2 linked regions of the Nothobranchius furzeri genome follow. The protein of the gene in region 1 purifies or fractionates together with the protein of each later gene. This does not show direct contact. Links are inferred from orthologs where the notes say so. Each region holds a gene or a part of one and is shown in the gene's direction. Other genes may lie near its edges.

Region 1 (4,424 bases):
TTACCGTTAAAACATAAGTTGAAAACTCCAGTTATAATTAGTCCTTTGATGTGGCACAGTTTCAGACTGAGACACTTCACGTCTACTTTGTCCAGCTTTTTCTGCCTCTGTTTATATTGGAGTTCCTCCGAAGCTTAAAGCAGTAGTCAACAGTTCAGCTCCCAGCTTCGCCTGCTTCCCTCCAAGGAGGAACTCTGCAGACAGCTCTCTGTATGTGCTGCAGACCCTGCGTTCATGAATATCCTTCCTATGAATTGCATGTTTCCACCTATGCCTCGCCTCGCCGTATAACACAACTAAACACCTGCGAGGAAGTCGTACAGCAACCTGGACTTCCTCTGAAAGTCCCAACTCTGGCAGACCCTGCTCAAGAGACATGGTGAGCACAGTTTCTGATAACATGTTGATGGTGACCAGCCGCTCCCCCCACAACCAGGAGTCATCCAGGTGCGGATCAATGGCTGAGCCTCTCTCCGGAGCGTAATCCAGATTGCACTGCTCCACTGGTTGAAAGCCCGCAAGATTTGCATCTTGCTGCATCCGCAGCACCAGTTTTTGGCTTAAAGCAGGAAGTCCAGTAAAGTCTGCGATGCGCACTTTTCTCTTCTTGAAGTTTACTTTAGGGCCAAAGTCCTGCAACCGTGTAAAATGAAAAATTTGAATGTTAAAAATATGTAACCCACAAAAAAGTACATTTTCATTAAATGTTTTCCACCTGTTTCCTTCGGCCAGACTGTGAGGGATGCCACACATCCTGGTCCATTACGCTAATCAGCTCCCTCTCCTCCTCCTCTGATATAAAGTTCTCCCACAGGAAGACTCCAGAAAAAGGGAAGGAAGAGCCCTCTTCATCTTCGCTGACAGCGAGCCCCGTCTTGGCATTATAGAGGAAATGATGCACAATCTTCATACCAAAAACAGAGATAACATTAATAAACAAAAGCTGTGATGACATGTTTTAATTATAAAATTTCATTTCACAATAAGTAAAGATACATGCCGTCAACATTTAAATAAACCAGGGTTGTATCTCATTATTTAAATCAAATTTACAACATTGTACCAGAATATTGTCAGAACAAACAAGAGTGATTTTTGATAAACAACACAATTTGTCCAGTGAGGGCTTCCGTACCAAGGTTTACAGACGTTACATCGCACATTAAAACTGAGATTTTTGTTCGACACACGTACCTTTGACTCTCTTGTTTCAAGCAGTACACTCGCCTTAAACGTTTCACAGACAAGACAGCGTCGGATGCCTTTACAAGCGCATGGAATAACCCCGTCGCCGTCGTCAGAGACCATCATCATCATGTTGCATCTTCTTCTACTTGGAAATCGTAGCTCCACTGCCATCTAGCGGACGGAGCCGCAGGCGTAAAATTACTTCTTTTAACCCCTATTTTCGTTCTGCCGCACTGTTATTGGCGCATTAAAATTTCAAATAAAACAAAATATGACAATACTTAGTAATATATGTGATAAACAAGAAATATAATAATCGAAAGTCGTATTTGTTTGACTTGTCTTACAGCCAATGTTCAGGGTAAACTGTGGCCAAAGTTTTAGGTAAACCACGCCCACCGGATGTAGACGGAGTTTCCCCGGGAAAGGTCAGTTGTGTTGCAGACACAAAAGTTGCAGAGAGGAGTTGGTAAGTAACATAAAAAATACTTTATTAAACATTATTAAAGGTGTTTGCTCATTTGTTATGGCTAGAAAAAGAGTCAGTTATATTACTAACTACTAACCTAGCAAAGAGTTGATTAATCGATCGTGTCAACGTGGTTATGCTAGCTACTGCTAAAGTAAAACCAATCGAAATCAAACTAACAGATTCAGTTTTACCTTGCTGAAGCATGAAGTTGATTTGGTTATATTAAATTTTTCTCAGTAAAGATGTCACTTGGCAATGGCATCGTCTCTTTACTAAATGAAAAAATGCTAAATATTTAGCTCGTTTTAAGTACAGACATTATTTAAACTTATCAGGCCATACAACTTAATCAGTGAGTGCGAATAAAAGTTTAACATGTTATTTTGCTGATAGATTCCACATTAGATGTCCTTTTCCAGCAGATCAGCTATGGAGAATGTAACAGAGAAGCTTTTACTGGAGAAAGGTTCTCCAAAAACCAACAAACTGGAGCAAATCAAAACTCTGAAGTAAGTCTTCCCCCTTGATTAACTATTTGTGTGTTCTGGTGAAGTCACTCTTTTATCAGTTGATGACTAATCGCATTTAATAGTAAAATTAGTTTTACTTGCAGATATGAAGCTTGATCTAAAATCCCCATGTTGACTTGACGGGTTTCTTCTATTTAGTCTGTCTAAGATGGCGCTGAAGCACGGGGATCTTCCTGTGAAGCTGCTATCCCGCCTGCAGTCCCTGGAGCGGTGGGATCTATCCGGGAACAGGCTGCAGGAGCTTCCAAAGAACCTGAAGCTACCTGCACTTCGGTACCTGGACCTCACCAACAACCAGATGGAGGATGTCACCACCTTAGAGTCTCTGAGCAGCTTGGAGGAACTAAAAATGGATGACAACTTTTACATCACAGTGAGGACTTGGCTGTTTTTGTCGCATGTAATCCAGTACCGTTCCGTCTCTGTTATAACATAAAGGACGGAGCTGCCTTTTTAAAATTCAAACTATTCGATTGGTCTTATTTAAATGAGTGGTTTAAGTATAATTTCTGTCTTTGAATTCATCTCAGAACTTTACAGAATCGTAAAACGTTACCGTGGCATCTTTTGGAGTCTGGTTGTTACATGTGATGCAGTTTTTCCACCCATGACTATTTTACCGCGACAATATCCACATGAGGTGAAAAAAACAAACCAAAAGGAAGTTTTCCTCTAACGCTGTCATCAGATAACTACTTCAACAAGTCTAGATGTTTTATTAGCACGTCTTTTTGTTCTCTGCAGCGCTGCAGCTTTTCCTTTTTGTTAGATATTCCTTTATTTTTGTCTCAAACTTTAAAATTCTCTTTTACAACTGAGATCAAGTCCTGACTCTGTTATTTTTAGATAAGTGATAGTTACAAGCTGATGGTGTTGCTGCCCAAACTGAGGATTTACAACAACAAAGATGTCAGCACCACTGCCAGCCACTTACGATACGTGTTCAGTGACAACCTGAGGACCAGGGTATGAAAACCGTTTAATACTTTCGTTTGAAAACATTCATGATGATTATTCATTAGACTTTGAGTTAAGCTGTGGCTCTCGATTGCATCACACCTCTAATGTTGCATTTTAAAAGGAAACGACCCAGCTGCTGCACTTTCTCATCATATCCCACACTTGGGTCACTCAGCTGCTGCTTGATTTCAGATAGTCACAGTTTGGGAGCGGAGCTTCAGTCTCCCAGATCCCATCACGGCCGGCAAAATGTCCGATCTGGAGAAGAACTTTGTGAACGCTGCTCGTCATCAAGTCAAATTTGGTCCCAGTTCAGTCAGCGATTTCACCAAATGGAGGGCAAGTCCTGAATTTACAAGGATCTCTGGGACTTTTTTGCTAATTTTCATCCCTTTTTAACAGTTTTGTTTTTACTTCCTTTTGATTTTTCAGGTGGAGATTCTTGCTAAAGAGCATCTGCGCTCACTGACACAACCAAAAGAAGACTTCATCCCCAAGGAGTCTGCTGAGGCCACAAAGAACTGTGTAAGATTGCTAATCAGCACCTTTTATTTAAACTTCACTGTTACAATACTGTCATTGGCACAAATGGCGTCTCTAAATAAAACTTCTTGCTGTTTCTGTTCAAACTGGGTCAAACATTTTACTCTATCTTCCTTTTCTCAGATAATTTCCTCGCCTTCCAAGAGGAAACGAACCAAACTGGTGACAGATGATAAAGTAATTTTGACGCCTCACAAGAAGTTGAGAGTCAACGCTCTAGAATCTTCAGCTGCTGAAGACAGCCCTCGCAAGTCCCGCAGGGTCTCTCTCCGGACAGACGGGGCTGTCTCCACTCCCACCAGAGGACAGGCGAGGACAGAGACGCCCAGGAAGAGGTCTAAATCACAGCAACTCGAAGAGGAAGAAGTTCGGGTTGAACAGAAAAAAGAAGTCAGCAAAACCAAACAGCTGCACAGGAGTCAGTACACTCTGCCTATAATAAAGATTTGTACTAAGAGTCAGGTAAAGAAACACACAGATGACTCCTTTAGATGCTGTAGAACCACAAAAACATTCCAGTGTCGTCGTTTATTCCGTACAAGACACAATCTTGTCAGACAACAACCCACAGGGGTTTGTGTTCGTTCTCATCCGTCTCTTGTGTGTGATCCTCCAGCAGCCGGTGCATCTGAAGCCTCTCCACGTGCTCCAGTGTCACAGTAAACAGGACAGCTCCGGGGACTTCTCCACGCAGCTGTGGGCCTGCGCTTTCCAGCCTCTGTCAGGCTCCT
Region 2 (4,313 bases), on another chromosome or scaffold:
TACACAAAAACATGAGGACACATGAAAACACAAATAATACAGAAATTTTTTATTAATTATTTTGGTGTAGGAAACCACTTTTAGTAAGTTTACCGAAAACACATTATGTTTATGTAAGACACAGGGTTTCACAAAAAAACAGCTAATAACATATTGAATAAAAACAAACTATGTTAAAATTGAGAATACATAGTCTAAGATAGCGTAATTAAAACAAATGCTAATAAAGATCAACAAAATACACGGAAGCTCAGCTCTGAAGGTCCAACCTGAGAAGAAGATAAATGAGTGAAGCAGAAAAATATTTTTTGTCAGCTCAGACACTCAGCTGAATATTTGAACAAAGCTGATTTACAAATGTCACAGAAAAATTGTTAATTTTTAACATTTTGGCAAATAATATTGCTAGCTCAAAGACGCTAAAATTACCCCAATTATAGCCAAAAACCTTAGATGCACATAAATAATAAAATACATAAAAGTGATTTAGATTTTAACATAGGCAAGTTAAACAACATAAGCAAGTTATTGTGTCTCTTTTATTTGTGTTGCCATTAAAAATTAAGTATTGACATGATTTTCATATAAGAAAATATTTTTAAAACACTAATGCATTGACTAAATAGACTTTTTTTGGGTATATTGTTTCATCCTGATTTTTAAAAATAACATTTTGAAGTTTGTTGTGGTGTTTTGTTCACAGCACATTTCCCACCAAAGGATCACATTACAGGATCACTGTAAAAATGCAGCACGAAATCTGTCTAAGCTTAGAATGAACTTCAGCAGATAGATGTTTAAAACTATGAAAAAACTACCAAAAGTTAGAACATGTGTAAATTAATTTATTATTATTATTATTATTATTATTATTATTATTCAGGACTTCTCAATGGAGAGGGCAAGATCACAAAACCTGAAAAAAGTAAATAATTATTCAGGATTAAATGTTTTTACAAATATACTAAATTACGAAAAACATTTTTTTCTTTATAACGTTTTGTACAACTGTTAAACAAGATAGTTAATAATTAAGTATAAATACGGTATTTTGTTTTTATGTTAAAAGATGTTGATTTGGTAATTCAGCTCTTTTTTATGCCAGTAGGGGGCAACATTCAAACTTCTACAGCTTTTATGTCTAAAATACGTATCTCTTATTCGGTTATAAAAAATTGGAAAAAATAGAGCTATTTATGAAATCTTATTTTAATTTAACGTGCAGCTTTTACGCATTCATCCATTCTTACGTCCGTTTACCTCAAACTTCATCTTCGCTTTATTTTGCTTGTTTCTGTCTCAGCCAATCAGGAAGGAGATCCAGCCAAAGCAGGAAGTCGTCATCATTGCGTTCCCGCGAAGGTTTGCACACGACGAAATCTCAGGTAAGCCATCTATATTTACCACAACTATATTCGTGTACACGTTTTTATTGAGAAACAACATAATTTAATTTCAAACAGACCTGATTTAAACACCAAGTGTATGACGTAGAGCCAGCTGGCTCGTGCCGAGAGCACTGGACACGAGCTGAGACCAGTAGACATAATTGCTGCCAAACTAAATGGTGAAGTTAAAAGAAATGTATAAATTCCTCCTTTCTGACTGATATGAAGCAAATTCGAGCCAACTTGGAATGATCTTCTGTAAAAAAGTATTTGTTTATTAATTCGGCGCATATAATACTCACTGAAATCTTTATTATATTGTAATTTGTAGCAATTTACCATAAAATGATGGGCAATTAGAAGCTAAGCTGTCATGTGAGCATACGTATTTGAAAGTGCATCTATTTTATGAACAAACGCTTAAATTACAGGTTTCTGAGTTTACTAGAAAACTTAATAAACTGCATATAATTGGTTACACTGTTGCAGTGTTAATGTTTGACATTTACAATGTTTCACAGTTCATAATGAGCAAGAGGAAAGTGAAAGATGCCCATCTGCCTGTAGGAGAATGCATCACCCAGGTGTGGTTAACGAAAACACTCATTTATGACTTTTAAGTGCAAAAATACATAAATCTATCTTTTATTTGCAGGTTCATCAGATTTTGAGGCGGCGTTTCTGCCATCAGCAGCTCCCTGACAGACCACAGGGAGTGGAAGCTCAACACAAGTTGGTGCTTTTTTTTTTAAATAAGACACAAAAATCATTAAACAGATGAACTCTGCTGGGTTTCTAGTTATTTTGCTGCTGAGGATAATTTAAGAATAAATAATTTTATGTGCAAAATGTTTGAAAACATAGTTTTTAGTGATAAAGTGAAAACTCGGGGTTCAGATTACGTAAGATGACCCAGTTGAGTCAGGCCTGGATGACAGGTCTGTCCCAGTTTGCAGTAGGATAAAAGCTCCCAGCTGATTTCAACTCAAATCCACCTGCAACTCTGAAGATTTAACAGTTTTCACTTGTTAGTCGAAGCAGTTTTATGTTTTTATGTGCCTGCAGACACCTCGCGGAGCTGCTGAAACGAACGGCTGTCCACGGGGAGAGTAACTCTGTGCTAATAGTCGGTCCCAGAGGAGCTGGAAAAACCACGGTGAGTCTCTACAGGCTTAAACGTAACAAACACTTAAAATATGATTAATTAGCTTTAAATTCTGGAAGGGTTGCCACGTATTGACGGTAAGTTTTTGTAGCTGCTGAAGTGTGTGCTGAGGGAGCTGATGAAGGAAACAGAAGTGCACAAAAACCTCCTTCAGGTTCATCTCAACGGTAATCTAAAAAATGCTTCTGAATCCGACTTTTTGCTGGAACCAGATATTGAGATGTATTGTGCTTGCTGCAGGTCTGCTGCAGACAGACGACAGAATAGCCCTGAAAGAAATTACCCGACAACTCCACCTGGAGAATGTCGTTGGTGACAAAGTGTTTGTGAGTTTTCACACAGAGCTTTAGCTGTTCCTGCGAGAGAATCCACGCAAAAACGTTGTTTTGGTTTCATTTTCAGGGAAGTTTTGCAGAAAATTTAGCTTTTCTCCTGGACGCACTGAAAAAAGGTTAGTTTCTCAAACGGATTGTAAATGTGAATGTTTAGCTGTTATAAGCAGTGCCGAGTGCTGGTTTTGGTCTCCCGAAGGTGAGCGCAGCAGCAGCCGTCCGGTTCTGTTCGTTCTGGAGGAGTTTGACCTTTTCGCCCATCATAAGAACCAGACCCTGCTCTACAACCTGTTTGACGTCTCCCAGTCCGCCCAGGCGCCCATCGCTGTGGTCGGCCTCACGTGTCGACTGGTGAGTCTGAGAAAACCAGTTTACCATCTCCCACCATTCAGTCAGAGGATGTGAGCTTTGATTCGTTCTCTTTAGGATGTCCTTGAGCTGCTGGAGAAGCGGGTGAAGTCGCGGTTTTCCCACCGTCAGATCTACCTGCTGAGCAGCCTGACATTCACTCAGTACCTAGAGCGTGTCCAAACGCAGCTCAGCCTGCCGGGCGACTTCCCGGACAGGAAGTTTGCTCAGGAGTGGAATGCCAGCATAACGGTGAGCCCGTCCACACGTCGTCGTCTTCCTCCGCTTATCCGGGTCGCGGGGGCAGCATCCCAACTAGGGAGCTCCAGACCGTCCTCTCCCCGGCCACCTCCACCAGCTCCTCCGGCAGGACCCCAAGGCGTTCCCGGACCAGATTGGAGATGTAACCTCTCCAACGTGTCCTGGGTCAACCCGGGGGCCTCCTGCCGGCAGGACATGCCCGAAACACCTCCTCAGGGAGGCGTCCAGGAGGCATCCTGACCAGATGCCCAAACCACCTCAACTGACTCCTTTCGATCCGGAGGAGCAGCGGTTCTACTCCGAGTCCCTCCCGAATGTCCTAGCTCCTCACCCTATCTCTAAGGCTGAGCCCGGCCACCCTACGGAGGAAACTCATTTCGGCCGCTTGTATCCGCGATCTCGTTCTTTCGGTCATTACCCAAAGCTCATGACCATAGGTGAGGATTGGGACGTAGATCGACCGGTAAATCGAGAGCCTGGCTTTCTGGCTCAGCTCCCTCTTCACCACGACAGATCGGCTCAGCGTCCGCATCACTGCAGACGCCGAACCAATCCGCCTGTCGATCTCCCGATCCCTCCTACCCTCACTCGTGAACAAGACCCCGAGATACTTAAACTCCTCCACTTGAGGTAGGACCTCTCCCCCGACCCGGAGTTGGCAAGCCACCCTTTTCCGGTCGAAAACCGCACGCATGACAGAAAAAAATAGATTTAAAAAGTCGGTTCTTTCATTTTACGGCTCATTTTTCTCCAGACTCTCTGTGAAGACAAGTCTGTTGAGGATGTTTTGCAGAGACACTTCAACTCCAGTAAAGACTT

What was found. Proteins that work in one complex are often made in the same cells at the same time.
Region 2: the proteins of lrwd1 (region 1) and orc4 purify together in Homo sapiens (affinity purification with mass spectrometry; 3 studies listed by BioGRID and IntAct, with this or other methods). This does not show direct contact. The link is inferred for Nothobranchius furzeri from reciprocal best matches to the Homo sapiens genes LRWD1 and ORC4.

What each region holds. Positions count from the first base shown.
Region 1 is NC_091750.1:30,550,559-30,554,982, reverse strand, and holds the start of lrwd1 (leucine-rich repeat and WD repeat-containing protein 1), read left to right. Parts: upstream 1-1,585; 5' UTR 1,586-1,657; intron 1,658-2,053; 5' UTR 2,054-2,065; coding exon 2,066-2,169; intron 2,170-2,328; coding exon 2,329-2,563; intron 2,564-3,036; coding exon 3,037-3,156; intron 3,157-3,342; coding exon 3,343-3,489; intron 3,490-3,582; coding exon 3,583-3,675; intron 3,676-3,816; coding exon 3,817-4,155; intron 4,156-4,309; coding exon 4,310-4,424. Other genes in the region: alkbh4 (alpha-ketoglutarate-dependent dioxygenase alkB homolog 4), read right to left, coding at 112-633, 716-904, 1,195-1,359. UniProt on the Homo sapiens protein: Required for G1/S transition. Recruits and stabilizes the origin recognition complex (ORC) onto chromatin during G1 to establish pre-replication complex (preRC) and to heterochromatic sites in post-replicated cells.
Region 2 is NC_091743.1:85,852,205-85,856,517, reverse strand, and holds the start of orc4 (origin recognition complex subunit 4), read left to right. Parts: upstream 1-1,311; 5' UTR 1,312-1,385; intron 1,386-1,909; 5' UTR 1,910-1,915; coding exon 1,916-1,972; intron 1,973-2,043; coding exon 2,044-2,120; intron 2,121-2,453; coding exon 2,454-2,544; intron 2,545-2,644; coding exon 2,645-2,720; intron 2,721-2,793; coding exon 2,794-2,879; intron 2,880-2,955; coding exon 2,956-3,004; intron 3,005-3,084; coding exon 3,085-3,236; intron 3,237-3,311; coding exon 3,312-3,485; intron 3,486-4,248; coding exon 4,249-4,313. UniProt on the Homo sapiens protein: Component of the origin recognition complex (ORC) that binds origins of replication. DNA-binding is ATP-dependent. The specific DNA sequences that define origins of replication have not been identified yet.